7 linked regions of the Rattus norvegicus genome follow. The protein of the gene in region 1 interacts with the protein of each later gene in a pairwise test. Links are inferred from orthologs where the notes say so. Each region holds a gene or a part of one and is shown in the gene's direction. Other genes may lie near its edges.

Region 1 (4,137 bases):
CCCCAGTGTGGCTGGAACTGGCCAGGTCATTGTCAAAGTCAAGACAGATGTGGGGCCAGCTGAGTCCTCTCAAACTCAGAACCTTATAGTTACTCAGACGGCCCTAAACTGGATTCACTCAGGTGCTCCCTGTGGGAGCCAGGAGGGGCCTCCTCCTCGATATGTGACAGCCTCTAATGTGAAGACCATCCTGCCTGCCGTGGCTGTTGGAGTGAGCCAGGAGGGCCCTGCAGGACTTCCCCTGCAGGTACTACCACCAGCTGCCCAGCTGGCTCCCATTGTGCCCCTGGAAAAGCCCTGGCCAGGAACACAAGCAACAACCATGGAAGGAGGTCCTGTGGCTGTTCGGAAGCCCTCTCAAGGTGATCTTGCCTATGCTTCCAAGGGCGTTTATGAGAACTATCGTCGCTGGCAGCGCTACAAAGTCTTGGCCCGGACTCACCTATCCCAGAGTCCTGATGCAGAAGCTCTTTCCTGCTTTCTTATGTAAGTGGGGGTGGGGGTGGGATATCCAAGGTTGACTTTTTTTTTCCTAGGGCTTTTAGAGAGAACTCTAGGGTAGATGCAGTAGTTTTGGCTCCTCCAGAATTTTTTTTTTAAAGATTTATTTATTTATTTTATGTGAGTACACTGTCACTCCCTTCAGACACACCAGAAGAGGGCGTCAGATCCCATTAGAGATGGTTGTGAGCCAGCATGTGGTTGCTAGGAATTGAACTCAGAATTGTTGAAGGCAGTTGTGAGAGTGAGAAGACACTGTTCAGAGAATGAAAAACAGTGCTACGTTCTTCCCGGCTTATAAGAAGTGTTCAGGTACCGTTTCTCAAAGAATGCCTACAACTTTGTGAAGTCAGGCAAGCATTTTATGGTAATCCTGAGAAGAATGAGAGACTTCCTGTCATAAAACAGGAAGCAGAAATTGGCATGTAGGTCCCTGACTCCAAAAGTCAGGGCCCTGCCTGCCTGCCCTCTGACACTGAGATGAGGTGGGCTGGGCCCTGACTCGTTCCTGTGGGAATGAGGAAGATGGCATTGGGTCGGGCAAAGACCTTAGTGTGTGTGAACTCTGTCTGCTCAGGAGTCAAGGAGAAACGGGGAGAGGGGAGGCACAGCTGGCTCCATATATACTAGGTGTGTGATCCAGAGCAGGACATTTAACACCTTTGCCCTGAGGCTCCTCATCACAAAAGGGGGTAATTATACCTATCTCCAAGGGTTGATCAGAAGATTAATGGTGCTTGGCAAAGTGCCTGGCATAGAAAATGAATCATTCAAATGGTCATTCTTTTATTAATACTATAAAAAGGCAACCTGAAAGAGGAAGGGAGCCCACAAAAGGCCAAAGTATCCCTCCTTTAGGTTATGTGCATGTTTAGCCACGATGCCTGGAGTTACAGGCTGTGTTTTTTTGTTTACATATTAGTTATTAGTCCTCTTGGAAATTTTCTCTACTTTCCAAGCAGACTGGGTAGCTCTCAGCTGAGACACCCCATCCCCATACCTCTCCAGACTTTGAAAACAAATGCATCCTCCCTTCCGGTGGCTGGGAGAACTTCTTTGTTCCTAAAGTCCTCCATAAACACCACCTTACTGAGTTCCTGGTTTCTTGAGATGGTTCTTGAGTTCTCTTTGAAGACCTGGTGACACAATTTTTAAATCTGGAACCAGTATGAGCTCTCGTGGTTTGCATACGGCTCATCCCCTTTTGTTTCTGGCCAACTCCTCCTCTGCACAATTCCATGCCGTGGACAGGATCTTCTGCTGGGCATGATCAAGACTTACAGCAGCCATCCGGGAAGCTGATTCAATGCTCAGTTCTGGGATCCTGGCTTCTAAATCCCATGGTTATAGCAAGCTTTCCTGGGTGGTTCGGATACTCAGTAATGTTTAAGGACTTAAAGAGAAGCCAGGCAGGCTAAAATGAAGTCCTTGCTTTAGTCTGCACACTCGATTTCCACTGGAGCTTTCCAGAAGTAATGGTCCAATATCCTATTTGAAAATTCATGATGGTGGGGTTGGGGATTTAGCTCAGTGGTAGAGCGCTTGCCTAGCGAACGCAAGGCCCAGGGTTCGGTCCCCAGCTCCAGGAAAAAAAAAAAAAAAGAAAGAAAAAGAAAATCCATGATGGCATTCTGGGGAGATTTGCACCTCTCAGTGGGAAGGGCGGCAAGAGTGAGGGGAGGCTCTGGAGATCTTATTAAAATGGGACATCCTAGATTTGGTGAGAGACGGGGCTATGGACTGAGGTGGGGGCATCAGAACAGGTGCAGGGCACACTTTTACAATGTGTCTGACCTAATGGGGGTTTTAGCCCAGTGCTTCGTTCCCTGGCCCGGCTGAAGCCTACTATGACCTTGGAGGAGGGACTGCCGAGGGCTCTGCAGGAATGGGAGCGTACCAGCAACTTTGACCGGATGATCTTTTATGAGATGGCAGAGAAGTGAGTTTGATGAACCCTCATTCACCCTGCAGGGGTTGGGGAGTGGTCGAATGTAGGGGTAGCAGAGACAGGCAGGTGTATGTGTGTGTATGTTGGGGGAGGGAGGAGGGTAATCGTAGCTTCAGCAAGATGGTTCAGCGGGTACCACAAGCCTGTACCTGGGTTTGATCTTCAGGATTCACATGGAGGAAGAAGGGGCTCCTAGAAGCTGTTCTCTGAGGTCTACACATGCACATTGTACGCATCCGTGTGTACACATACATACGTACATACAGACATACAAATAAGTGGAATAAACTTTGAAGTAGAATAGTGTAACAGGAGGAGGGCTGTAGGCCAGATGAGGGTCTCCTGGACCCATCTTGCTTCTACCACCTAAGCTGTCTGTTCTTGAAAGCTCCCCTGCCTCCAGGTCTTGGATCTATATATGGCTTTCATATTGAAGGTGTTAGCATAGGTTTGAACCCAGGGCCTCTAAAAACCCCTCACTGAGAGAACCTTACCATGAAGGCTTTTTGGCTCACTGGACAGCAAGTGGCTAATGATCTGGAACTTGACAAGCACTTTTCCTTTCATGGTTTGTTTTGCTTTTGTTTTTAAAAATAGCACAGAAAACTCGTTTTCCCCCATTTCCAGGGAGGGACCAACTCTGGAAGAGGTTGGCCAGAAGAAACAGGGTACTGGATACCCAGAGTGGTCTCCTGACTCTTCATTCCCCATTTCTACAGCACAGCCATGTCCAAACACAGGAAATTTGGCTGGCTGTGATGTTGTGGGTCATCACGCATGGCCCTAAGGCTGTTGTGGGAGTATCATTGGAGGCCAGGAGTTCAAAGCCAGCCTGGCAACATAGTGAGAATCCTTATCACAGTAACTGAGGAAAGAAGCATTTCCTCCAAATGTATCTTTTTTTTTTCTCCCCCTGAATCTGAACCCTCAGCTTCCTAGGTTTACCCTTGAGGACCTGTTCTAGCCTTTGCACTCTGGTGGGCTCTGCTTCAGAAATTCTGCCATCATTTTCAGTTGTAGAAAGGGACAGATGAGGCCATCAGGAGCAACCCTTTAGAGTGTACCTCTAGGTTACACGGGCCAGTTACATGAAGTAGTAATTAATTAGTCAGGGCACTGGGTGAGGTTGATATGGCACAGAAGAGGGTATGCTGTACATCACCAGTTTCTTTAGTTAGCTTCCTGAGTAACCACCGAAGGTGAAGAGACAATAGAATAGCATTTTCCAGAACTGTCATTAGGCTACAACCTACCCGTGAGCAGCTTCCCCTGGCCGTCCCAACTTCAACAGGATTTAGCCAAAATGAGGGTGCATGGTTTCCTGGCCATGTGCGGATGCTGCCTGGTGTCTGTGTTACTGATGGGATGGATTCTCCTTCTCACCACAGTCTGTATGCTTTTTATTTAAATGCTAATAATTTTATGTGCACTGGTATTTTGCCTGCGTGTATGTCTGTGTGACAGATTTTAGAGTTACAGACAACTGGGAGCTGCCATGGGGGGTGCAGGGATTTGAAGCACTGAGCCATCTCTCTAGCCCTGCCCGTTCCTTCTTTTATTTATTTTTTATTTTTTTATTTTTTATTTTTTTCTTTATTAACTTGAGTATTTCTTATTTACATTTCGATTGTTATTCCCCTTCCTGGTTTCCGGGCCAACATCCTCCTAACCCCTCCCCCTCCCCTTCC
Region 2 (4,137 bases), on another chromosome or scaffold:
GTGTTTAGAGGGAGGGAGATTGTAACTTGAATAGGGGTTCTCAAGTGTGAACTCTGCAGATGATACCATCATTTTGTAAGGACAAAAGATTGAACATACTGCTAGGCAGTATTTCAGAGTCCTTTCCAGGAGCTCTTGGTGGTTTCTTTAAAAGGAAAAAAAAAAAAATACAGATCCTTAAGTGGCACTAATATATATTCAGGGTTGAAAAACAGTGATTTAAAATTAAGGAAGTGGGGTGGGAAATGGGAAGAAAAACGTGATTAAAAGGCTGTTTCTTCAGAAACAAATATGTTTACTATTTTAGTTTAGCATTTCAGGATTTATTCATCTCAATCATAGCAGTGAGTGGAAGCCATCAGAGTGGGTTTGGTTTAATGGTGGTGGTATTTGGGTTCGATGTCTGTTTTTTCGCTCTTTGCACCTCTTCTCCTTACTCTGTCTGAACTCTGCATTCTTCCTACAAAGGAACTCGGGAAGTCATGGGAAGAGGTGCAGTTGGAAGACGACCGTGAGCTGCTGGACCTTCAGGAAGAGTAAGGCACCGCACTGCTGCTGTCAGCTACAGCGTCGAAGAGCGGGCAGATGGTTCTTTAATTTGGGCTGTAATTACCATTCCAAAGAGGGACAATAAGAAGAAAGTCTCTAAGCCATACACCCTTTCATATAAGTGGCAAGGTTTTTAAATTAAAATAATTTTCCCATAAAAAAATCACTAACGATACTTTTGGGTGAGATTAGTTGGGGTTTGGGTTTGTTTTTATTTTGTTTTGTTTTGGGTTTGTTTTTGTTTTTGTTTTTGTTTTTTACTTTCTACTTTTTCATACAGAGAACAGGACATACAAATACAGAAATAATGTAAGAAATATGTATTGTCAGTGTCTTAGGCAAAAACCTACTGCAGATACAACGGTGCATACAGAAATCCGATTAAGACTCTGATTTCTTCATATTCTTTTCTACCATACATAAAAATATCATCAAAGGGAATTTAGATAAAGAAAACAAACTCACACTTTGAGTGGTCATATGTACTAATACATGTTAGACAGTCTGTTATGTGATTCTTCCATCCATCCCTTTGAAGTGGTAATGGTTTGGGTCTGATAGTGAGCTTGTCTCAGATCCCAGTTAGAGCAGCACTGAGAGAGACCTCACACTCCGTACTTTCCGTAATGGGCATTTCCAGTTGTCTCTCTGCGCCCTCTTTCCGCTTCTTCCCTGGTAATAAAAACCTGTAAGGATCAGGATTCTTTGGGGCCTGTAAGTAAAAGACTTCCACAGCCTGCCTTGCAGCTGTGTGTGCTGTGCAGCTGCACTTCGACTGCAGCAGTCGCAGCAAGTGAGAGTGCAGTGCCGGACACCACAGTGTTCCAGTGCCGTGGCATGCGTAGCACTGCTCCTTAAGGGGCTCTCCTGTCACTGCAATCTAAGTCCAAGAGGCACCACAGAAGAGAAGGGTTTGTTTGGGCTAATGGTTTCATGGCTGGGCAACCATGGAAGCTGGGTTCCATCACTGCTGATGGAGCTTACAACATAACTTTGCCATCTGCGGATAAGAAAGCAGATGCCTTGGGCCAGAACCTGAGCAGTTACAATCTCTACCTGCCTCCATGACCCTCAGTCGGCCAAACTCAAGCTTTCTGTTAAAACAGTATATGCCCTTAACCCCTGAGCCGTGTCTCCAGCCCTGCATGCCTTTTGAGTTACCATTCTACCACAAGATGTAACATTTGCCCCATTTAAAATAATCAGTGTTTCCCTCTTGAAATATAACTGTAGGCTTTAAAAAAAAAAAAAAACACGCAGTCCGCCATGCTGAAGCACGTCCGCTCACATCCTGTGTATTGGTGCTTGGGACTAATAAGAGAACGTCCCACCTCTTGATAGGTGTCCTTTTGGAATTAAATTTCTCTGTGTCCATTCTCAAGTCACTGTTCAAAAGAGTGGCAAATGGGGAAACCAGGGCAGCACCTACTGGCTGGCTGTCATCTCATGCTTGGAAATCCAGACTCTGTATCTGAAAGTCGTAATAGGATGTGGCAGTCTTTCCCAACATGTCACTAAATGATCAGTGGCATTTGCTAGGAAAGAGACACTAACACAACTCACCATGAGGTGCACCTCCAGTGAGAAGATGACCGTGTGTTCTGTCTTCTTTTTAACCTAGTGACTGGTCTGATTGGCAGGAGTACCCTGTCTCTGCTGTCTGCCTATTTTGTGAAAAGCAAGAGGAGACAATAGATAAATTGTATGTGCACATGAAGGTGAGATGTGTTTATCTTGCTTTAATTTTGTTTCATTCTGACAGCGTGGAGCTGGTAATCATTTGATCGACAGTAACTCGCTGGGATGGTTTATGTTAAGCTGACAGGACCTAGAATGTCCTAGCAAAGGAGCCTCTGGGTGTGCTTGAGGGCTTTTCTTGACTGATTCATTTAGGTAGGTGACTACGCTGGGTGTGGGCAGCACCACTCCATGGACCAGTCCGCAGCTGGTTAGGAGAAAGGGACAAACAGCAGCGTTTGTCACTCTCTACTTTGTTCTTTCTCCATGAAGGTTTGTTGTTGTTGTGTTGTTGTTGTTGTGTTGTTGTTGTTGTGTTGTTGTTGTTGTTTGTCAAGGTACATTAGTCTCAGTGTGGAAACAGACAGGAAGCCCACATCCTCCAATCATTATTCCATTCCAGAAAGTACAAACAGAAGAGACAGGCCAGATCCATCCAGGAGGGGAGAGTGTGGTGCAGGGTAGAGGGTGATTGACTAACCTGAGCAGACCGTAGCTTAGATGTCACGGCTCCCACCCTTAAGGGGCTTCCTTGATCACCGTAGCTCAGGAGATGAGAGATCTGCAGCCACAGTGACAATATCCAAATGTAGTGGGTTCTGGGGCCTTCTTTCTGCTCCTGCCTGTATTGTTGACTAAGGTAGAAAGAGCAAAAGTCTTGCTATTCACAAAGGTCAAGATCGAAGCTGCACATAATGTGACCTGAGAGCCACTCGGGGAGGAGAAACCAGAAGAAGCATCCGGCTCTGCTTCCCTCTGTGTCGTGTTTATATTGAGGTGACACTTGAAGCTAGGAATTCTGAACCTTTATTCACTTCAGTATACCCAAAAGATACTCCCTATGTGTTGCTCTGACCTTGGCTAGATGCTGGGGTAAAGAAAAGAATATCTAATGATATATGACAGTATCTCAACAGCATGGGAATAATAATTAATAATGATAATAATAATAAACAATATTTCTGTGGAGTTCTGACGTTCTCTGCCTGTCTTCTGAGTTGTGTCTGTCTATAGTTGGCATCTGTTTTTTACTCACCTTCAGTTCTCCTCATTGAGAAATACTGTTCTTAGTTCAACAAAATAAGGTCCTGGGCAGAGCTAGAAAGCCTATGGGCATATATTCTTATGAGTCGGTTTGTCTTTGATAGGTTACCAGTAGGATGGATATGTGGCCATTTATAGGTGTGTCACCATGTAGGGATAACATTCTTGGACTCCTCACAAGGATCATTGGTCCTGCTCATTGACATGCTCAGTTGGTAGCATGTCATGAACTCCTGAGCATCCTGCATCTACTGGTACTGCACAAAATGCTGCCACAGGGAACAAGATTGCTTTTCTGTGAGGTGATAGATTTGAACATTTACAGCACAGTCAACTGGAGAAAGGGGACAAGCAGAATACCATAAGTCTCTGTCTTGTGGCAGTCCAAAGAAAGGTTGGTTGATGTGAAATGTAAAAGTAGAACCGAAGAAACACATACACACACACACACACACACACACACACACACACACACACAAACACACACAACACACACACACACACTGACTGTGTGAAACATCACGTGCTTCTAGTTCTCTAAAACCTAGTTCTGTAATTGTGGTCCAGATGCCCTGTATGCAGGAATCACAACTTAACACACTCTTTTATCAGGCTAGATATTTTAGACATTGTAAATTGGCAAAAATAAGCTGTAACCAATTACAACGTTTCAACTAATTGATGCTCTGGATTGTGCTTTAGAGAACTGCTGACCATGGAGGAAGGTGGTTAGAATTAGAAGATATCAAAAGCAGAAGATGATGAACTCAGACTGCTTCTGAATCAGATGTCTGTTTATAGCTTTAG
Region 3 (4,137 bases), about 8.7 Mb from region 1:
TCTTTGGCTTGAATTGTTCACCAGAGAGAATGGCATGTCATTAATTATAGAAAGGTAAACTGAGTCAGAGTCTGGTCCTGTCCATATCTGTCCTCAGACCGGCATGTCTCGTTCTCCTGTATCTCACTCTCTTGCCAGCGGCCTCACCGAGTGCTTGCTCGAAGCCAGCTTGGATCTTCACCATCGCATCTCCAGATGCAGGTCAGCCCTTGCCTAGGCTTGTGCAAAGGTATCATGTGCACAGGAAGCCAGAACTCATGCACAGAGATTTCCTTCACCATGCAGTTGGTGATCCCTTCGGATCATCTTAATTCTGGAGGGCTTTGTTCTAGCTAAGTGCAAATTCTTCCTTTTCAAAGTTGGCTGGTAATAACATCAGCCATCTAGGCATCAAACATGATGGAAGACCTGTGGGTGATTCTGAAAGCCCAATGTAAAACCTTGAGCTATGCAAAGGGAAGAGATTTGATTCTGAACTGGTGCACTTGAACAGGCCAAGGATCTTGGTTAACTTTCAGATATGAGAATATGAGGCTGGAAGCCCTTATGTATACCCTATAGAAAAAAAAAGACTCTAGTGCCCCCCCCCATACACACACCAACAGGGATTCTCTTTCTTGCCCTGGCTGTCCTGGAACTCACTCTGTAACCCAGGCTGGCCTCAGACTCAGAGATCTGCCTGCCTCTGCCTCAAGAATGCTGGGATTTAAAGATGTGTGCCTCCACTGCCCGGCAACCCGGCAACTTCTAGTGTATTATTTAAACTATTTAAGGTCTTAGCCCACGTCACCCGTAACTCTATATACATGAGAGGCTGAGGCAGAAGAACTGTTCCAGACCAGCCTGGGCCTAGTGAGATCTTGTCTTAAAATTTAAAGGGACAGAAAGGACGTGTGAGCTGCCTCAGCTGCTAATGGTGCTTGCCCTGTGTCTGATGACCTGAGTTTGATCCCTAGAACCCACTTGGTGGAGAGAGAACCGGCAGTTCAGGGGCTAAGAGCATCTCCTACTCTTATAGGAGACCCAAGTTGGATGCTTAGCACCCATATTGGGTGGCTCACAACCCTCTGTGACTCCATTGCCAGGGTATCTGATGCCTATGGCCTTCTGGGGCACCTGCCCTTGTGTATATGTACCCACACACATACATACAATTAAAAATAAAATTAAATCCTTAAGAACAATGCAAACAAAAAGAATGGAGAAAGGAATCACAGTGAAGATCACTTACCTAAAGTGACGAGGGACCCGGGTTTGATCGTCAACACCGAAACAACAAACGACACCTAACACTTGACTTGATCATTGTTTTTCTCAAAGAAACTGAGCTTCGAACTTCCTGGTTCTTAAAGAAGGTAATCTTATATTTTGTGCTATAATGGTGGATTTGGCATTAGTATTTAGCTACATATTTACAACGGATGGGTCACCTGAAGATGCTGGAGTGCCCTGTGCACAGCCATTCCCCGAGTCTCACTGTCCCCAACTGTAATGCTGCTGAGCCTCATGGGCACAGGCCAATTGGGCCACAAGGTCACTTGGGAAATGTGCCAAATAAAGATCAGAGGCACAGACGTGTCGCCCAGGGTACCCAAGAGGAAACGCCATCGGACATTCCATCAAAGGAATGAAAGCTAATTTTAATTTGAAAAAAAAAAACCACTAGATTTTTTTTAAAAGTAGGTTTTATTTGAATAATGTTCCAGGAGCACATTAATTATTACAAGTCAACAAGCATTAAGTGTCTCTGTCTCCTATTTGCTATCACAATCCTTTCTCCCGTGCCATTTTCCCTCAGAAAAGTTATTTCTTCTTACATGTAAAACAAAAGTATTCAGGTTCTAGGAAGGCAGAGCAAGCAGAGGGCCCTATGTATGTGTATCTTTAAAATAGTTTTTACTGTTCGTGTGTGTGTGTGTGTGTGTGTGTGTGTGTGTGTGTGAGCACATGCACTTGCTCTCGCTTGCTTGTGTGTATATCTATATGTATGGTTATATATAGAACAACCTGCTGGCGCTTTCTTTCCACCGTGTGTGTCCTGAGGACCACATCAGATCATCAGGCTTGGCGACAAGCACTCTAACCTCATAAGCAGCTTGTGATTCCCAGCATACAACTTCTTAAATCCAAGAACACATCCCTCAGAATCACTGTGAGAACAGAGTGACTTTGGTATCAGTTTAATCGCTTTCCACTCCTTTAGGTCCATCGTGTGGTCCCCTCTTCCACTCTCTTTACTAATTTAATTTTATTCACACTACTTTTGCTACCCTGAAAAAGTATGAAGAAAGAAAAAACAACTATGTCTGCTATCTGTTAAGAATCACACCGTAACCTAGATTTCCTCCCAAAGATTCGTTCGGATCTAGTATTCTTCGAGACGGTGTCTAGTGTAGCCCTGAGCCTCTGGATGATGCTGATGAAATCCTGCTCCTCCAGGTTCCGCCTCAGGATGCGCTGGGATTATGTCCCCACTTTCCATGGCACTGGAGAGGTGACCGTTGGGCCTCTGATAGGTTAGGCCATCCCTCTACCTATGAAGCTCATCTCTAGCCAAAGATTCATGCAGAATGTAAGAAAGAATGCAAAAAACTTCAGTTGGAATAATTAGATATGGATGGAACTTTCGGTTTTGGAAAGAGACAGCAACCTGATGTAATCTCGGTGGCTTTCTTCTTCTTTCTCTTCCTTTGATTCTGTGCAATGGGAAGGGCTTCAGTAGGGTGAATCCAACAGATTATCTGTAGGTTTTAGCACACTGGGTCATCAGATGCTTTGACTATGAGCAGCTCCTTTGGTCCCAAAGTATATTCTTAGGATTTGGCAGTTCCAAAGAAGAAAGGGAGGGAGGGCTGGGAAGACGGAGCAGAGCAGGAAGGGAAGGTGGAAGAAGCAGACAGGATCAGAGGTGCCGACGAGGCAAGGGACCAACACTATCTGCAGGGCCTTGGACACCTCCTGGTATTCTGTCTTCAATTTTTCAGATGCTAAGATCTCTCTATCCCATTCCCATTTTATCCAAGGTTGCCTGTGTCTGTGCAGTCTGAGTTAGGGAGTCTTTTATCCTTATTTCCTGGAAGGAAATGTAGTGAGGTTCCCCACAGAACCCTGAGCATGGAGCAATTCCTGAGACCTTGTGCTTGTCTCCCTTTGGTGAGCTTTTCCTAATGCTTGGCCCCCTCCCCAGGGAACCCGTGGATGAGGTGCTGCAGATCCCCCCATCCCTGCTGACATGTGGTGGCTGCCAGCAGAACATAGGGGACCGCTACTTCCTGAAAGCCATCGACCAGTACTGGCACGAGGATTGCCTCAGCTGTGACCTCTGTGGGTGTCGGCTGGGAGAGGTGGGCCGGCGCCTCTACTACAAGCTGGGACGGAAGCTGTGCAGGCGAGACTATCTCAGGTAAATCCCTCACACTTCTGGGCACATCTGGGTTTGGACACATAGTCTCTGGCTCCCGCTTTGGCTCTGAGGTGTCTGCCTAAGGAGGCTAGGCTGTGGAGGCTGAACCTCCACTGCCTCTTCAGAGAAGCCGTGAGCTCTTCCTTTGCTGTGGCCATGTTTGCAGAGACACATCCCTGCATGGTAAATCACTGAGGTTTTTAAAGGTAAGAGAAGAATAAACACGGAATTCAGAATAAGGACAAAATTCCGTGGGGGCAGGATAGGGTTTGGAGAAGTATACGTAGGGAAATATCAGGGGAACTAAGGGAAGAGAGGGAATTCGCTTATAAGTTTGGGAGTGGGTTCTCATTTGATACTCAATGAACGTATGCATATATGTAGACATTCCTTTGCATGACTCCAATATTGTTGATGAGAACTTTTAAAATAGCATTCTGTTCTTGAGCCCTGAGCACTGAGTTTCCTAGCAGGAGGCTAGCATTCAGCAGTTACAAAGGTGAAGACACTGGAGTCGGGAGGTTTGAGGCACTTACTCACTACTTCATTGCTTCCTAGTACTGGCCTTAGACAAAACCTCGATTTCCTGCCTGTAAAATGGGTATAGTAACTGTAAGGTTAGAATGAAGTACTTGACTTGGTACATGACTTAAGAAGTAGGTGGTGGCTGACTTTATAACTGACAGGTGTCGTGGGGGCATCACAAATTATTTTCCGCTATAATGGACAAGGGG
Region 4 (4,137 bases), on another chromosome or scaffold:
AAGGGAACCATGGGTAGTTGGGGGCAGGCAATCAGAAGCTCCAGTCGGGTCCTGTGTGGAGTCTCCAGCCACACAGTACTCCATGCTCTCTTCATGCACAAAGTGTTTGCCACCTGTGGTGTCATTGGTGTCACTCTCCTTGCTGCTCACAGCGGTGACTCTCCTCTGCCCTCTCCTGTATCCCTTTCCCCTCCAAGATCATCCTGCTGGGCTCCCTGGAGAGCCACGGAGAACTTTGTCCCTGGGCCCCATTACTGCCCCACCCACTGCACACCCTTGGAGCCCCGAGGCAGGAGTCCCTCTGGAGCTGGCTCTGGGCACAGGGGCAGCAGCTGCTCACCTCTCAGCCAAAACCTGCGCGACTCAGAAGAGGCTTCCTGTAGAAATCCTTGTAGCCGCTGAGTTCCACCGAGTTCCACTCTGCCTTCCGCAGTAGCGGCATCACATGACTATTTTCTGTTAGGTATCTAGGAGCCCAACCGACCATTATTAAATGCCATCATGGTGGCGCCCGCCTTTGATTCCAGGGATCAGGAGGCAGAGGCAGGCCGATCACTAGTTCAGAGCTAGCCTGGTGTACATACGGAGTTTAGGGCCAGCCTGGGCTACATGGCGAGACTTCTGCAAGAGTCAGCTTTGGGTCAGGGTCAATTTGTTACTTACTTTCAAATGGCAGACAACAGGATTCTCTTTCTATTAGGCAGGCTGTCACAGCTCTCCTGGGAAGGACAAAGAGGTGACATTGGAGAACACTATGAACTTCTCTGATATTTACCACTCTGATGAAGAGTACTTCAGGAAACTCAAAGACCTGAGGGCTGCCCATGCAGAGGCCATGGTAAAATTAGAGAAAATGTACCAGGACAAGCTAACTATGAAGGACATCCAGGCAGCGCTCGTTGGGGATGATTCTTCTAGGTAAGTCTCTTCTAGAGATGGTCGTCACTGTCATTGTGAACTGAACTAAGATAAATGCTTGGACGACATATGGGGGAAAGCACCCACAGTACCGGCTTCTGAATAGCCCTTCCCAGTATTAACGATATATAAAGGTGGGATTTTATTCACAGTGTTTACTGGCATCATTTCACTAGGTTCCCTCTTGCTTTGAGCGTCATTTGGTGGCCATCTGTTTTTTTTTTTTATTGTAATTTTTTAATGCATTTCGCCTGAATGTATGTCTACATGACTTGTCCACCTGGTGACCATAGAGACCTGTGAGCTGCCATGTGGGTGCCGGGAATGAAGCCTGTGTCCCTGGAAGGGCAGCCAGTGTTCTTATCCTCTGAGCCATGTCTCCAGCCCTCCCATCTGTGTCTCTCTGCTTTACTCAGGCTTACAGATATGCATCAAAATATTTAGGCTGCCCCAATTTTGAAAGATGATCTTGTACTCTATGTAGTCCAGGATGGCTTAGAACTTACCATGTTCCTGGCCAGCCTCTGTCGTGGGAATTTTGGCTACTTTGCTTTATGCTGCCGGCTGGTCACAGACACACGCCCACCCAGTGACTATCTCCAGTACACAGAGGAAAGACAGACAGACAGACAGACAGACAGACAGACAGACAGACACACACACACACACACACACACACACACACACAGCTCACTTTTAAACTGCTTTACTGGCTCTGATGGCTGGGCTCCTCTAAGCTTTCTGCGGCTACCATGCCCTTCCCTTCACTCCTAGCTCACCCTCTCTAAATCTGCCCTCAGCCTCAGTGAAGCCCATTGGCCTTGCTGCCTTTCTGTGGGCCACTTTCCTTTTCCACCTACATTTTGGTGGATGCCCCTACAGCTCCGAGCCTGCTCTGTCTCACTCTCCCAAGGCTCCCCATCTCCTCTTCCTGCCCTCTCCTCTCTCCTCACCTGTGGGAACCTGGAAGTCCCATCTCTTTCTTTCTGCCTAGCCATTGGCCACTGGCATCTAAGTTGCCAAATGCAAATGGACTGGACATTATAAATGTAATTGCATTTTTAAATGAATTGCATAGGCACAGTGCCTATCTAAGAGTTGAAAACATAATATATTATGTTGTACCAAAATTAAGCTTATATTTTGTACCAATATAACATAGCCTTGCAGTATTATGATGATGATGATGATGATGATGATGATGAATTCTGTACCAATGTAAGATTATGGCTATAAAATGTTTTTTTGTTTTTTGTTTAAGAGTATATTAAACAATCTAGCCCTATTTGTCAAATTTCTTATAATATGTCTATATCCCCTTTTTCTTTTTTTTTTTTTTTTTTTTTTTTTTTTGGTTCTTTTTTTCGGAGCTGGGGACCGAACCCAGGGCCTTGCGCTTCCTAGGTAAGCGCTCTACCACTGAGCTAAATCCCCAACCCCCCCCTTTTTCTTTACAACCCCTCTTCCCTTTATCTAAGAGCGAAAGGACAGAGAAAAGGAAATAAATCCCCGAGTCTAAGCTCCATATTTAGTTCCCTCCCTGTTCAGCACCGTAAGTGTTTATAAATCATCCCTTACAATGACAACATATGCATAGTTTATAAAATGACCAAGTCGTCCATCCCAACTAAATGGACTGAGACAACAGTCTTCTAGAAGACTTCAACAACGATGACTAGGTTAGGGAGGGGTAAGGCTGCTGGGTAAGCGGCGCCAGTCCTGATTGACAGGTAGGTCAGACTTCACAGCAAAGAAGATGGAAATGTTAGGTAGCAGTAACATGGTCAGACATGGTCAGGAAGGTGACTCTGGAAACACAGAGGCATGATTACAGTAAGACACGAGGAGCAGCTGACTCAAGTTCCTTCTCTGAAAAGCCAGAGTGTGTTAGATAATCCAGTCCTCTCTCAGCTCTATTCCAAAGAAAAACGACATTGTCACGACCCTGTGCTGCCGTCTTCTAGCTGACTATACCTTAATCTTATAACATTGGCAGTTACAGTAACTCTAACATTTGGCCACATAAAATTGGAAGTGTGCCCTAATTCTTCTTCTTCCCTAGTTCTGCATCGGAAAAGAGCTGCTCACATCCTGCCTTGTCGGCGACCTCGCTTTCAGAGCCTGACCTAGACCGGTCGTCCTCCTTGTCCACAACTACTGATGAGTTGCCCGACCTAGAGAAAAAGACTCCTGGGGAAATCGGAACAAGGTCCTATGCCAAGGAGCTCATAAACAACATGTGGAACGACTTTTCTGTTGAAGATTATACTCAGTATGACTCTGACCTCCAAACAGCCAAGAAAAACAGGAAGAAACCTAAAGCCTGGACGCCCAGGATTACAGTGCCGGTGCCCTTTGAAATGACGGTAAGAGAGCAGAAGCGGAGAGAGAAGGCCTCGGATGCTCAGGAAACCAGGGAGAAGATGCTCAAGAGGAATGAGGACGATGCAGAGTGTAAGAAGAAATTCCGAGCCAATCCAGTTCCTTCCCGCCTGCTCCTTCCCCTTTATGAGGATCTAGTCAAGCAGAACGAGGAGCGTCGGAAGAAGACCCGGGAGAGGAGCAAAGCCGCACTCCTGGCCTCCCAGAAGCCCTTTAAGTTCATTGCGAGGGAGGAACAGAAGCAAGCAATCCGTGAGAAGAAGCTGAGAGAACTTTGTAGGGCTAAGAAGAAACCGAAGCAGTTTAAAGCCAGGCCTGTGCCTCGTTTTATTTACAGACCACCTGCGAATGTCAAGCCAAAGAGGGAAGAGCTCTATGGGGACAGCAGGACACAGCCAAAGGCCAGAGATGTGCTGCAGAGTTCGCCTTGGCCCAGTCACTCCACTTACAGAGCTTTCAGGGACCCCAGAAGTCCTGCAATGCCAAGGGGTAAACACAGGCATAGGCGCCTGAGCCCCAGTGACCAAGGCTTGGAGAAATGGAAGGAACCCTTCTCTGAACAGAGCTTTCGGAACTGCCCGGTGCTTTGTGACCAGTGTTGTCTTTACGAATCCTTATGTGACTCCAATAAAAGACAGAAAATCTTGGCAGACATCCGAATGGGTGAGGAAATTTTGAAAGAAACACGCAGGCCTAATCCTTCTCCTAGGCATAAATCCCCCAGAAGAAGCGCGCACGCCAGCGCCAGGCCTTGTGAATACAGCCCTCCGATGCCCACCGCGTCTTCCCGAGGGCGCGAGCAAGCCATCAGGTAAGGCACTGGGATGGGCGCTCCTG
Region 5 (4,137 bases), on another chromosome or scaffold:
TCTACTACGAGGCACTGTTATTTATTATGCAAACATTTAGTTAGCCCAGTGGTTTCTGAGCACTAAAAATATATTCGTTCATTCCAGCTTCACAACAGCCCTATGAAGCAGAATTGCTATTATTAACCTTAGTTTACAGATAAATGGATAGGCAGAGGCGCCCAGGACGTGGAGCAAGCTAGCCAGTGTTGGGCACCAAATCAGCGCTCCTCACCACCGCAGAGCCAGGCGACCGCTCTGGTCGCAGCCTGATGTATAGAGAGGATAGGCCTACTCCGATGGGCTGCAGGTCAGTTTTGCATCAGCTGCCTGGATGCAAAACAAGACCCGCTCCTCAACTGCCTTGGGCTGCCACTGCCACCAAGCTCTCCCATTTCTGTGGGTGATAAATACTCCCACTCCCAGGCGAGGTGGTCTCCAGATCCAGTTGCCCTACCAGACAGACCCTAGAGGAAGTCATTCTGAAGTAGAAATTGAAGATATGGCTTTTAAGCTCCTCTCACCAGCAGCTCATCCCCTGCCTCTGTCTGCCTTGTGGGAGAAGCCTGATCAGGGCTTGAGCCTTTACAGACTTATCAGCCCATGCTAGCTAGGTCGGGGCTAGCCTGAGGTCTGCCACATCTGAGTCTTTTTATTGACTAGATAAGAATGAATTCATCGACCAGTTATGGATGTGCAAAAAGGTGGTGCCAAACCCATGAAACACATTCTGTTCCCTGCACCACCTCGGGGATATTTTTACACTGTTAATTTGTTTTTGAAAAACAGTTTCTCCCATACAAGAGTAACCGCAGGCAAGCCCCTGCTTTAAATTATCTCTCAAATCCCAAATTAATTGCTTCTTACTAATGTTATTTTTATCAAAGACTTTCCATGCGTTTCAAGGAAAGGAAATCAGTTAGACTCATAAAGGGGAGAAGGTGAGGCATCCGGGGCTCGGGGGAGGGGGAGGGGAGCGGGTCTGAGGATGGGAGCTTCATTTGCTCTTTGGTTTTCCTTGGGAAGCAGAGCAATCTCCTTCCTTAAGCTGAGCGCTCCTAACTGACCTCAGAGTTCACTCCAGCTCCCAGCAGCAGCAGCAACTCTCTTGCCAAACCTGGCTTTGTAAAAGTAACCTTTTCAGGACCCCACAGCAGGACTCCACCACCAGGAAAAAGATGGCCTCTTAAATTCTGCCTCCACTGTGCTGTAACCACCACCACCCCAGACCCTGGAATATTCTGGGCTTTCCTCCCTTCTCCCAAACAGCTGAGTTAGGAATCTCAAGCTTCTCCATTCTTCAATGGCTGCCCCTAACAGAGCCCCTCTGCCCTTTATGTAGCTAGGAAATACAGTCTTGATCCAGGTCTGATTTTCTGGGTAGTCCCAGACACTTGGGTGGCTGAGACAGGATAGTTTGAGGCTAGCTTTCGTTACCTAGTGAGACCCTGTCTCAGAAAATTTTTTTACAAGCTACATTGTTGCTTTCGTGGAAGAACAAATCATTTTAGCACGACATTCATCCACTACTGTTTTGCCTTCTAAAAATCCAGCCAAAGAGGGAAGTGAGAAAAATCTATTCACACTAAATAAGGGGTTGGGGAGTCTTAGCAGATACTGATCGTCTATCTGCCAGGAGGCCCAAATTCTGACTTCCGAAGCCCGAGGACCAGTTCTTAACAGCTGAGAGCCGGAATCCCTACCTGCTGCTACTTTTTCAAGTTACCTCCCTGGCGTCTCTGGTTGCATGGAAGCACTCTTAGCTCGCCTCACCCTGATTTTCAGTCTTCAGTGAGGAAAGGGGAGATGAGATTAAACAAAGAGACCAAGAAGCCAAGAGAAGAAGAACCTCCTCTTCAGAATGGAATCTAGAACACCTTTCTTGGCCACAAAAGCCTGGAAGAAGATAGACTCCCTGGATTCCTTTCCTGAACCTTCTCTCCCTAAGAAATTTAGAAACTCTGGGAGTTTTTACACTGCCACCTCAAGCACCACCTCCCCCACACCCACACACAACCGGCTCTGGCTCAGGAAGTGACTGCTGTGAAGGGCCCCCTGGACCTCCACCGGCTAAGCTAAGTCAGCTCATCGACAGGGGCTCCTCACAAGCTTAGAGAAAACTCCCCAGCTTGGCAACCAAGCGACCCTGCTCCATCTAGTGGCCGTTGCCTGCAACGCATGTCCTCTCCACGCTCCCGAATAACTAAAGCTCCCTGACTCCCTTGGAAAGAATGCGCCGGTTCCTGAAGCCTCCCAGAAGCCCGGGGCTGGTGGAGGCTTCTCCGCTGAGCTCATCTGACCCCACTGGGAGCAGTCTCCTGTGTGGACCTGAAAAGCGAAGTCTTGCCAGCCCTGGTGAGGCCCGCCCTGCAGGAAAGGTCTGGGGAACGATGAGACCGGACTATCCTGGGTGTGTGTGAGTCAGCCACACACACCAGTGGCCTCTCATTTGGAGAAATATCACAATGGCCCACTTTCAAACAGCATATACTGTGCAAAACGCTGTCTCCTTGCCTCGGGGCTGGGCCTTAGGGGCTGAGGAAGACACACGCAGTCCTTTCTTACAGAGCTCATATTTCAATCGGGCCCTCCATCCAAGACTGCTCACCGACAACCTGATAAGAAATGAACCATGCTATAGGGGAAGAAGGAGAAGATTACAAACGGAATCAGATCCCATTCTGATACTGATTCGACTATTTTTGCTTTGTGGCTTCTTGAAAGGCGCCATGCCCTCATGCACAGACCCACAGGTTGGCTGAGACAAGAATAGGAGAACGCAGGAGAATGGTCTCCCCTTTTGGGTTCATATTTGAGTGCTGCCCCCTGCTGGCTGTGTGGCGATGTCAAAATTCTCAAGCGTTCTGGGTTTTTCTCTCTGTGAAGATTAGGAAGCTTACTTCCTAGGGTTGTCGTGTGGACTAAGAGTAGTGTGCAGGCTCCAACATCTAGCATGTGCTGTTGTTTTAGATATGAGGTACAGTTTCAATCATAGCCTATTATTGGCACCCCCAAGCCACTTAACTGTCAGTCCCAAAGAGGCCCCCACTGGCAGGCAGCCTGGGCTGTGTAGGGCTAGAGCATGCCTCTGGATCCCTTCTCTTTGCTTTCACAGTCGTGGCTTTGGACAGTCCAACTCCCTCCCGACGGCCAGCTCTGTGGGCAGTGGCATGGGTAGACGGAACCCACGACAGTACCAGATCGCATCTCGGAACGTCCCTTCTGCCCGCCTTGGTCTCTTGGGCACCAGTGGATTTGTCAGCTCCAACCAGCGCCACACTGCTGCCAACCCCACCATCATGAAACAAGGAAGACAGGTTTGTTCTGCTCTGGGGATCAGGGAGGTTGACAGAGCTCAGGGGTCGAGGCTTTAAGATGTCCCTAACCTGGACAGTCTCCAGATCGAAAGAGATGACCCCAAGGGATCTAAACCAGGGGGATAGCCGAGTCTATGCTTCCTAGGTAACCACTGTTGGTGTTGTTTCCCTGGAAACTGAAACCCCATGGCTGTTGCTTGGGAAAACTAGTTCTACATGGGCCTTTGTAGACAGGCATGAAAAGTCTACTTCTGCTTGATCTGTGCCCTGCCCCAACATACCATCACCTTCCCAGTCTGGTTGGGCATTTAATAAGCTTTCTTTGACCTTTTCCTCACAGTCCCAGATGCAATGGTGAGTTCACAGGACTGTTGGGGAGGCTGTCCCTTGCTGTAAGATTGACAGTGTTCTCTCTGTCCCCTGAGCCCAACCTTGTCTTTCCCTAAGTGTTCGTTCCCTAAACCCCATTGGGACTGGGGACACACAAGCAGGCCTGATGAAAGGCTGGCTTTAAAACAGAAAGGCTTCACCAGGAGGTGGCTGGTGGCATCCTCTCCCAATGGGAAGGACGTGTCTAAGAAACCCCCAACCCCCACCCCCACCCCCCCACCCCCGCTATCAGTTCTAGGCGAGGTCGCCGCAGGACACATGAGCTGCAATGACACAGGCCTGTTGCCAGTACTGAGTCCTCTTTTCTCCTCAGTAGAGAGTAAATTTGGGGAGTCTCAAAAAGAGCCTTAAACTCATTGTACTGTTTGCTATAAGCATTTCTAAGAACACACACACACACACACACACACACACACACACACACACACACACTCCCTTTAAGCAACAAATG
Region 6 (3,520 bases), on another chromosome or scaffold:
CTCTTCAGGTTTGATGGCTCGAAAGTTGGCTCTTGTTCAGTTGCGCCTGGAGAGGTAAAGTTCGGGCACATTGAGGTGGAGGGGTGTGTGTGGATGTTGGGGACAACCTGTTGGCTGCTAGGACCCAGAGGGACCAAGGAGGGGTGGAGGCACCGGTCACTCAGTTGCTGGGGAGGTTTCTCTGACTCCATCATCGCTGTCCCAGCTGTCCCCCACCTGAACCTGCACCCCCACCGGACACGGACCTGAGCCTTGAGTTGGAGCAGCTACGGGAAGAACGGAACCGCTTGGATGCAGAACTGCAGCTAAGTGCCCACCTGATCCAACAGGAGGTGGGCCGGGTACGGGAGCAAGGTACGCCTGCCTGCCGGCCTGCCTGCCTGCCCTGCCTGCCTGCCCTGTGTGCCTGCCTGCCTGCCTGCCTGCCTGCCTGCCCTGTGTGCCTGCCTGCCCTGCCCTGCCCTGCCTGCCTCCCTGCCTGCCTGCCTACCCTGCCTGCCTCCCTGCCTGCCTGCCTGCCCTGTGTGCCTGCCTGCATGCCTGCCTGTCTGCCCTGCCTGCCCTGCCCTGCCCTGCCCTGCCTGCCTGCCTGCCTGCCTGCCTGCCTGAGCGGGGCTGGAGGAGACTTGATCAGCGGAAGCTCTGGTGCCAGCAGAGGTCTTGCGTGACCACAGTTCCCTTTCAGGAGAGGCAGAGCACCGGCACCTGACCGAAGTAGCCCAGCAGTTGGAGCAGGAGCTGCAGCGTGCCCAGGAATCCCTGGCTAGCGTTGGGCAGCAGCTGGAGGCAGCCCGTCAAGGCCAGCAGGAGAGCACAGAGGAAGCTGCCAGCCTCCGTCAGGAGCTGACCCAGCAGCAGGAGATCTACGGGCAAGGTGTGGGGGCGTGGCAGTGTGTGCCACCCTGCAGGACGGGCAGCTCCCCCTGACACTGCCTCATGCCCTCAACTGCAGCTCTGCAAGAGAAGGTGGCGGAGGTGGAAAGTCGGCTTCGGGAACAGCTCTCAGACACAAAGAGGAGGCTGAACGAGGCCCGGAGGGAGCAGGCCAAGGCTGGTGAGATGTGCGGGAGGAAGGCAGCATTGAGACACAGGGCTGCCAATCCCATCTCACCCCAGACTTTTTTCAAGCTTTTTGTTGACACGTGTATGTAGTGACGTACCGTAGGACTGACATAAGTGAATTCTTACGCAGTGAACACACCGCAGCCAGCACCAGCTCAGGAACAGCTTTGGTTCCGGGCCTGCGTCACTGCCCCTCAGTGGACACCACTGTTGTGGCGTCACTTCTGGCAGCTGCCCTCACTAGAGACCTAACACTTGGATGAGTTAGAGGAACAGGATGGATGTTCGTGTCTTCCCTGAGTGGAGACACAGTTAACACCCTGCTCGCTTGCCTATGTCCGTGCTTACACGTGTGGACATTTGAGTCATGTAAGTTGCAGCAGACATGATGGTTTAGCTGCACATCTCACAGATAGAAAATTCTCTAATCATGCTACCAGTGTCGTAAGAACACGAGCCCTAGCCACACATGGCGGCACTTGCCTGTCACCCCAGCCCAGCCTTTGAAAGTAAGGGGCAGAGTAGGTTAGGGCCAGCCTGGACCACATAGCGGAACCTGTCTCAATAGTTTAGGGCCAGCCTGGGCCACATAGCGGAACCTGTCTCAAGACAGCAGCAACACAGATCACATGAGTGTCACTCCGGCCCCTGTCCAGGTCTTGCCTAAGGAACTGGCATCGGGGATGAGGATCCCATGACATCAGCCCACCCATGGTGTGGAAGAGTCCCCGAGAGAGTTGAGAGCTCAAGTCTCATTCTGGGGCTCTGGGCTAACCCACTCCCATCTCCTTAGTGGTTTCCTTGCGCCAGATCCAACACAAAGCCACTCTGGAAAAGGAGCGGAATCAGGAGCTCAGGCGCCTGCAGGACGAGGCCCGGAAGGAAGAAGGGCAGCGGCTGACACGGCGAGTGCAGGAGCTGGAGAGGGACAAGAACCTCATGCTGGTAGGGGACAGCAGGGAACTGGTCATGGGAGCTGGTGGTTGAGTAAAGGTGTGGAGGGGCGGGTGGCCTGGCCTGGGCCAGTGCGGTGTGGCTGACCCTCTCCTTCCCAGGCCACCTTGAAGCAAGAGGGTCTCCTCTCCCGTTACAAGCAGCAGCGCCTGTTAGCAGTGCTTCCCTCGGGAGTGAGTAAGAAGTGCAGCTCCCAGCCTGTAGAGCCCCCTGAGTCTGCAGCAGCTTCACCGTGCAAGGAGTCTATGAAAGGTAGAACACACTGAAGGGCACGCGGAATTTCAGGCCCGAGCCCCAGAGGCCCTTGGCCTTTTATCTGTGCTGCTGTGTGCCCAGGATCCTCCCTCAGGGCCTCCCAGCCTGTGCAGCCTGCTCTCACCCCCGTGTCCATTCTGCAATGTCTCCTCTGTCAGGCTCCCTGACTGTCCTGCTTGATAACCTGCAAGGCCTGAGCGAGGCCATCTCCAGAGACGACGCTATTTGTCTGGAAGATAACCAGAACACTAAGAGCCCTCCTTCCAATCCACTGCTGGGCCGGAGCTGTCAGGAGGAGGAGTGAAGCTAGCCTGGAATTGGATCCCCAGGAGGGTTGGATGGGAGGACATGGGGTGGGGCCAGCCTGGCCCTGCTCCCCAGCAAGCCTTGGGACCCCAGCTTCCACCAAGTTCAAACTCTGTACTGAATAAAGATGGCTGGAATGGAGTCCTTTCCTGGAGATGTCTGGGAGACTGGGATTCCCCTGGAGCCAGCCCCTGGGGGGTGGGGGGTGGGGGGCTGTGAGACGATTATCCTCCTAACCCTGCCCTTCCTCTGAGGGTACCTTTCTCCAAACCTTTCCTAACTGCTCTGGAAGTGTTCTGAGAATCTCCCAGATTTTGTTGTTGGTGGTGGTGGTTTTGTTAGTTTGGTTTTTTGTTTTGACATTTAAGATAGCCCTGGCTGTCCTAGAGCTTATTTCTGTAGACCAGGCTAGCCTTGAACCAGAGACCCACCTACCTCTGCTTCCCAAGTCTGTGTGTTCTCTCTCTCTCTCTCTCTCTCTCTCTCTCTCTCTCTCTCTCTCTCCCTCCCTCCCTCCCTCCCTCCCTCCCTCACTTCCTTTCTTTTTTAGGACAGGGTCTCTGTTTAGCTCTGGCTATCAAGAATTCACTCCTTAAATCTGGCTGACCTCAAACTCAGAGATCTGCCTGCTACTGTATTGTGCCCCCCCAACCCTCTCCCCCAACTACACACACCACACACACCACACACACACACACACACACACACACACACACACCACACACACACTACACACACAGGCATACACACACACCACACACACACACACGCATACACACACCACACCATACCACACCACACCGGTGCTGGGATTAAAGGCCTGTGCTATTGCTACCCAGACCAAGTTTTCTTTGTCCTCCTTTACTGTAAAAGTTACTTTCTTTGGGTGTTGAATGCCTGGAGTAAGATACTAAACATTCAACATTCAAGAGGAGTCTCAGCA
Region 7 (4,897 bases), on another chromosome or scaffold:
TCATTGGTCCATGGGAGCTAGACAAGTAGTCTAGTACATGTGGTCTGGAGGGGTGAGCCTCTGTTTTGTAAATAAAGTCATGTGTTTCATCCTGTGGAATATAAAGGCCAGTGAATGTGAAAGCTATGTCAACCGACTGGGTTGACTGGAGCGCCATCTAGTGGACAGAAATGTCAATAAACAGGCCAAGAGGCTTTGTTTTATTTTTATTTTTGTTTGTTTGTTTTGAGGGGGAAGGAGGTTGATTTTTTTTTTTTTTTTTGAGACAGGGTCTCACCATGTAACTCTGGCTGTCCTGGGATTCACTATTTAGCCCAGGCTGGCCTCGCACTCAGAGAGCTGACTACCTCTGCCTCAGAGTGCTAAGATTAAAGGTAGGCACTGAACCGCCTAGCCACACCTAGATTTTTAATGGTTTGGTTTTTTGTTTTGGTGGTGAGTAGCCGATAGAGCTGAGACGGGCTCTTATATAGACAGGCTGGCCTGGAACTTCCTGGTTTGAACTTCTGGTTCTCCTGCCTTGGTCTCCTGGGGATTAGGATTATAGGTTTCTGTTCCCACAGCCCACGTATGCAGTCCTGGGCATTGAAGACAAGGCTTTGTGCATGCGAGACAGGCAAGTACTCAGCTCTGGCCTGTAAACTGATTGCCAAGGAAGATCTGGGTGACTTAAGCTGAACCCTGAAGGAATAAGACTATTCCAGAAGAAATAAGTCAAGGGCCAAACATGTTTGCCCATGCTTATAATACTAACACTAAGGAGACTGACACAAGAGATTTGCCCCAAGTTCAAGAACAGCTTGGACTACATAACGAGTTAAAACCAAGTTAGGTGACACAGTCAGACCCTGTGTCCAGGGAAAGCCTACAAGGCTGGAACATGGGAAACAAGCATGGCGGTGGACGCCTGAATCCCCAACACTTGGGAAGCTGACCAAGAAAAAGAAAAATGTAAACCAGCCCTGATTCTGTAGCGAGCTCATGTTGGTCTTGGCTATGAGACCCTGTCTCAAAAAAAAGAGGAAGAGGTGCTGGGGAGATGGCCCACACACAAACATTTTTAAAGTAAAAGAGGTGGGACAAAAATTGAAGCGCGGGGGTAGGAGAGAGGCTGAGGGCAGGTTCTTGGGAGTAGCTGGCAAACCACTGTGACTGTGGTCAAGTATTTTGGGATCCAGGAAGAATGTTAGATGTACATCATTAGGGCTCCTGGCCTGAGCACGGTAGTGCATGCCTTAATTTCAGCACTAAAGAGACAGAGACTGGTGGAGCTCTTTGACTTGAAGGCCAGTTTGGTATAAATAGGAAGTTCCCCGCCAGCCTGTATCATAAAGTAAAACAAAAAACAAACAAACAAACAAAAAGACTCGGCTGCAGAAACGGCTAAGACAGTGCAGCTGCAGGAGTTGGTGAGGATCCGAGTTACTTCACAGCTGCGCAAGCCCCAGAGAGATGTGGTGAGTGGGTCTCGCATTGGGGCTGCTTATTGGCGGTGAGGTGGGCGTGGCATCGGGACAAAACTACGCAGGCGCCAAGCTCCCTCGTTTCCGTGGCGACGAGGACTCACACGCCTCAACGGCTTAGCAACTGTTCTGTCCCAAGACTTTGGTCCTGCCGCTGGACTCTGTCGTCCTTAAATATTTCAGTTTTCCTTCTCCATTCCGACTGCTTCCTGAAGCCAAAGGAATCTTGGTCCCTGGCATGGGTGACCTGGAGCTGCTGCTGCCTGGGGAGGCTGAGGTGCTGGTGCAGGGCCTGCACAGCTTCCAGCTTCGGGAGATGGGATCTGAAGGGTGAGGCAGCTGCAACAGGTGGAGTCACCTGGTCGTTTAGTGGAGGAGTTTGGGACTGACATTGGAGAAGGGGTTGCCAGTGTGGAGGGGTCTCCAGGTGGGTAGGGAAAGCTCTCAGAGATAGAAGCGTAGGGCCTGGGGACAGGATCATGGTAGGCTTTAGTAGGATCCAGCCCCACCCTCACTCCCGCTGCACATCTGGACACCCAATGCACATATGCATCTCTTCCGGGGCAGGTGGAGTAAGCAACATGAGAACCTGGAGAAGTTGAACATGCAAGCCATCCTCGATGCAACTGTCAGCCAGGCTGAGCCCATCCAGGAACTGTTGGTCACCCACGGGAAGGTAGATCCAGGCCCCAGGCAGGATTTCCACCTTCCTACTGTACCTCTCGGGGGACACTGGGCCCCTGTTCTTCCTTCCGACCCCAGACACCTGTCATTCCTAAGTGGGAAAGAAAAATATGTTTGTTTCATTTTGAGGTAAGGTGTCGATCTGTTGCCCAGACAGCCATGAGCTTATTACCTTCCTGTTTCTGCCTCACAAGTGCTGGGGCTGCAGGCGTGCCTCACTGTACCTGGCTACATTTCCTATTGTAGTGGATCCTAGACTCCAGGGGGAGCACTCAAGTGCTGACATGAGCCTGAACTGACTGTAAGGCCAAAGAGCTCCTTACTAAGGAGGAAGCAGCTTTCCAAATGGGGAAGGTAGCCTTTCTGACACAAGAGGAGAAAGTAGAAGCAAGCCAGGAAGATGCCAGGTTGGAGGATGGGCCAAGGGCGGTACTCACTCCCCTGCAAGAGAAAGACAGAGCTGGGTAGCAGGGGTCGGTCTAGGAGCAAGGCAGTAAAGGGTCTCAGTAAGAGTGAGGCCAAGGGCTGGAGAGATGGCTCAGTGGTTAGAGTACTACTGACTGCTCTTCCAGAGGTCCTGAGTTCAATTCCCAGCAACCACATGGTGGCTCACAACCATCTGTAATGAGATCTAATGCCTTTTCCTGGTGTGTCTGAAGATAGCTACAGTGTACTTATATATAATAAATGAATCCTTAAAAAAAAAAAGAGTGGGGTTGGGGATTTAGCTCAGTGGTAGAGCGCTTGCCTAGGAAGCGCAAGGCCCTGGGTTCGGTCCCCAGCTCCGAAAAAAAAGAACCAAAAAAAAAAAAAAAAAGAGTGAGGCCAAGGCACCCAACCAGCTGACCAGGTGACAAAGACCAAAGTAAGGACAGGAAGAGGAGAGCATCCCTAAAAGGGGAGATGCCTGGATGGAGGTGGGGTAAGAAGCAGAAGGCACAGTGAAGGTCATTCAGTGGAAACCCAAGAGAGCTGAGACTTAGCCTGGTCTAAAATCCAGACAGGAGAGCTGGGAAGGCAAGGCAAGTCCATTTAACCCCTGCCCCTCCCCTGCCCCTCCCCTGCCCCTCACAGATCCCAACGCTGGTGGAGGAGCTGATTGCTGTGGAGATGTGGAAACAGAAGGTGTTCCCGGTGCTGTGCCGGCTGGAGGACTTCAAGCCCCAGAACACCTTCCCCATATACATGGTGGTGAGCTGGGCCCTCAGGAGTCCTAGGCCACGAAAGGTAGTTAACAGCCCCACCTCTCCCTCTCAGCCCAGCCCTGTTCTCTTCGACAGGTACATCATGAGGCCTCCATCATCAATCTCCTAGAGACAGTATTCTTCCACAAGGTGAGACATTCTCCCTGAAAGACTCTACTCCTTGTCTGTCGGGAAAGGCATCAAATCCCAGAATCATTCCCTCCCTTACCCCCCCAGGAAGTGTGTGAATCAGCAGATGACACGGTCTTGGACCTAGTAGACTACTGCCACCGCAAGCTGATACTGCTAGTGGCTCGGAAAGGCGGTGGTGACCTGTCTGAGGAAGAACGGTTCCAGGACAGTACCCCTATGCAAGTAAGCTCAGGTTCCCCAGACTTAGCAAAATCTCGATGTGAGTTCCCTCTGGCCTCCTCAGGGAGGAGGGTGAATACTGTGTGCCTCTGCCCACCCACCCCCACCCCCAGGAGCTGCAGAAGCAGGCAGAGATGATGGAGTTTGAGATCTCCCTGAAAGCCCTCTCCGTGCTTCGATACATCACAGATTGCATGGATAGGTGGGCCACCCTCCAGGTCCTGGGCACACGATAAAGGGTTGTGCGTCCTGGCCCGTAGCCTCTCTAACCAACCGCCCTTCTCCCGAACCCCTAGCCTCTCCCTGAGCACACTGAACCGAATGCTTACCACACACAACTTGCCCTGCCTCCTGGTGGAACTGCTAGAGCACAGTCCCTGGAGCCGGCGGGAAGGAGGTAAGGCTCTCTTCCCCCTACTTGCCTAAGACTGTAACTGGTTGCTTCCGGAACCTCCTTCAAGATCAATGGAAGTGTACAGCATACACACTGAGGATTCTGGGATGCCTCACCCTAGAGGGGACTAGATTTTGACTCTGAGGCAGGCAAGGCCTCTGAGTCATTTATTGAAAATCAACCTTGTTCTGACAAATCTGGTGGTCCAGGCTTTCAAACGATGCCAGGTAAGGACAACACACTCTCTTTTTTTTTTCTTTTTTCTTTCTTTCTTTTTTTTTCCGGTGCTGGGGACCAAACCCAGGGCCTTGCGCTTGCTAAGCAAGCGTTCTACCACTGAGCTAAATCCCCAACCCCAGGACGACACACTCTCAAAGTGAACACAACACCTCATTCTCCTCCCCAGGCAAGCTGCAGCATTTTGAGAGTGGCCGATGGCAGACAGTGGCCCCCTCAGAGCATCAAAAGCTGAACAAACTGGATGGGCAAGTATGGATCGCCTTGTACAATCTACTGCTCAGTCCTGAGGCCCGAACCCGTTACTGCCTTACAAACTTTGCCAAGGGACAGCTGCTTAAGGTGGAGAACTCAAAGACCCTACCCATCCCCACTGTGCCCCGCCCAGCCCCGCCCCGCCCCGCCCCCATAGCATCCCTGTCTGTCCCCGCCCTCTTTCCACCACTTGGGCTTCAGAGGACAAGGGAGTTGGAAAGATGCAAACCCTCCCAAGTACTCTCAGCCCCAACTTCAGGACTTCCTGTCTTTGGGCCCTCTGGCTAGGAACAGTTTCCCAATGGCCT

What was found.
Region 2: the proteins of Nutm1 (region 1) and Zfp277 interact in a two-hybrid assay, tested with the Homo sapiens proteins (2 studies listed by BioGRID). The two-hybrid records come from large-scale screens. The link is inferred for Rattus norvegicus from reciprocal best matches to the Homo sapiens genes NUTM1 and ZNF277.
Region 3: the proteins of Nutm1 (region 1) and Lmo2 interact in binary tests that used the Homo sapiens proteins (3 or more experiments, as listed by UniProt). The two-hybrid records come from large-scale screens. The link is inferred for Rattus norvegicus from reciprocal best matches to the Homo sapiens genes NUTM1 and LMO2.
Region 4: the proteins of Nutm1 (region 1) and Fam161a interact in binary tests that used the Homo sapiens proteins (3 or more experiments, as listed by UniProt). The two-hybrid records come from large-scale screens. The link is inferred for Rattus norvegicus from reciprocal best matches to the Homo sapiens genes NUTM1 and FAM161A.
Region 5: the proteins of Nutm1 (region 1) and Samd4a interact in binary tests that used the Homo sapiens proteins (3 or more experiments, as listed by UniProt). The two-hybrid records come from large-scale screens. The link is inferred for Rattus norvegicus from reciprocal best matches to the Homo sapiens genes NUTM1 and SAMD4A.
Region 6: the proteins of Nutm1 (region 1) and Cchcr1 interact in binary tests that used the Homo sapiens proteins (3 or more experiments, as listed by UniProt). The link is inferred for Rattus norvegicus from reciprocal best matches to the Homo sapiens genes NUTM1 and CCHCR1.
Region 7: the proteins of Nutm1 (region 1) and Zmynd10 interact in binary tests that used the Homo sapiens proteins (3 or more experiments, as listed by UniProt). The two-hybrid records come from large-scale screens. The link is inferred for Rattus norvegicus from reciprocal best matches to the Homo sapiens genes NUTM1 and ZMYND10.

Annotation. Positions count from the first base shown.
Region 1 is NC_086021.1:119,511,860-119,515,996, reverse strand, and holds part of Nutm1 (NUT family member 1), read left to right. Parts: coding exon 1-486; intron 487-2,311; coding exon 2,312-2,440; intron 2,441-4,137. UniProt on the Homo sapiens protein: Plays a role in the regulation of proliferation. Regulates TERT expression by modulating SP1 binding to TERT promoter binding sites.
Region 2 is NC_086024.1:63,114,122-63,118,258, reverse strand, and holds part of Zfp277 (zinc finger protein 277), read left to right. Parts: intron 1-468; coding exon 469-536; intron 537-2,170; coding exon 2,171-2,267; intron 2,268-4,137. UniProt on the Homo sapiens protein: Probable transcription factor. Involved in modulation of cellular senescence; represses transcription of the tumor suppressor gene INK4A/ARF, perhaps acting via the Polycomb group (PcG) complex PRC1.
Region 3 is NC_086021.1:110,824,094-110,828,230, forward strand, and holds part of Lmo2 (rhombotin-2), read left to right. Parts: intron 1-3,187; coding exon 3,188-3,403; intron 3,404-4,137. UniProt on the Homo sapiens protein: Acts with TAL1/SCL to regulate red blood cell development. Also acts with LDB1 to maintain erythroid precursors in an immature state.
Region 4 is NC_086032.1:101,216,871-101,221,007, forward strand, and holds part of Fam161a (protein FAM161A), read left to right. Parts: intron 1-663; exon of another isoform or gene 664-700; coding exon 701-918; intron 919-2,980; coding exon 2,981-4,111; intron 4,112-4,137. UniProt on the Homo sapiens protein: Involved in ciliogenesis.
Region 5 is NC_086033.1:22,810,253-22,814,389, forward strand, and holds part of Samd4a (protein Smaug homolog 1), read left to right. Parts: intron 1-3,094; coding exon 3,095-3,296; intron 3,297-4,137. UniProt on the Homo sapiens protein: Acts as a translational repressor of SRE-containing messengers.
Region 6 is NC_086038.1:3,209,581-3,213,100, reverse strand, and holds the end of Cchcr1 (coiled-coil alpha-helical rod protein 1), read left to right. Parts: intron 1-8; coding exon 9-54; intron 55-205; coding exon 206-354; intron 355-674; coding exon of another isoform or gene 675-685; coding exon 686-874; intron 875-952; coding exon 953-1,054; intron 1,055-1,855; coding exon 1,856-2,007; intron 2,008-2,117; coding exon 2,118-2,268; exon of another isoform or gene 2,269-2,429; coding exon 2,430-2,575; 3' UTR 2,576-2,718; downstream 2,719-3,520. UniProt on the Homo sapiens protein: May be a regulator of keratinocyte proliferation or differentiation.
Region 7 is NC_086026.1:117,097,431-117,102,327, forward strand, and holds the start of Zmynd10 (zinc finger MYND domain-containing protein 10), read left to right. Parts: upstream 1-1,598; 5' UTR 1,599-1,701; coding exon 1,702-1,793; intron 1,794-2,030; coding exon 2,031-2,139; intron 2,140-3,221; coding exon 3,222-3,338; intron 3,339-3,427; coding exon 3,428-3,481; intron 3,482-3,568; coding exon 3,569-3,706; intron 3,707-3,816; coding exon 3,817-3,905; intron 3,906-3,999; coding exon 4,000-4,100; intron 4,101-4,503; coding exon 4,504-4,676; intron 4,677-4,883; exon of another isoform or gene 4,884-4,897. UniProt on the Homo sapiens protein: Plays a role in axonemal structure organization and motility. Involved in axonemal pre-assembly of inner and outer dynein arms (IDA and ODA, respectively) for proper axoneme building for cilia motility.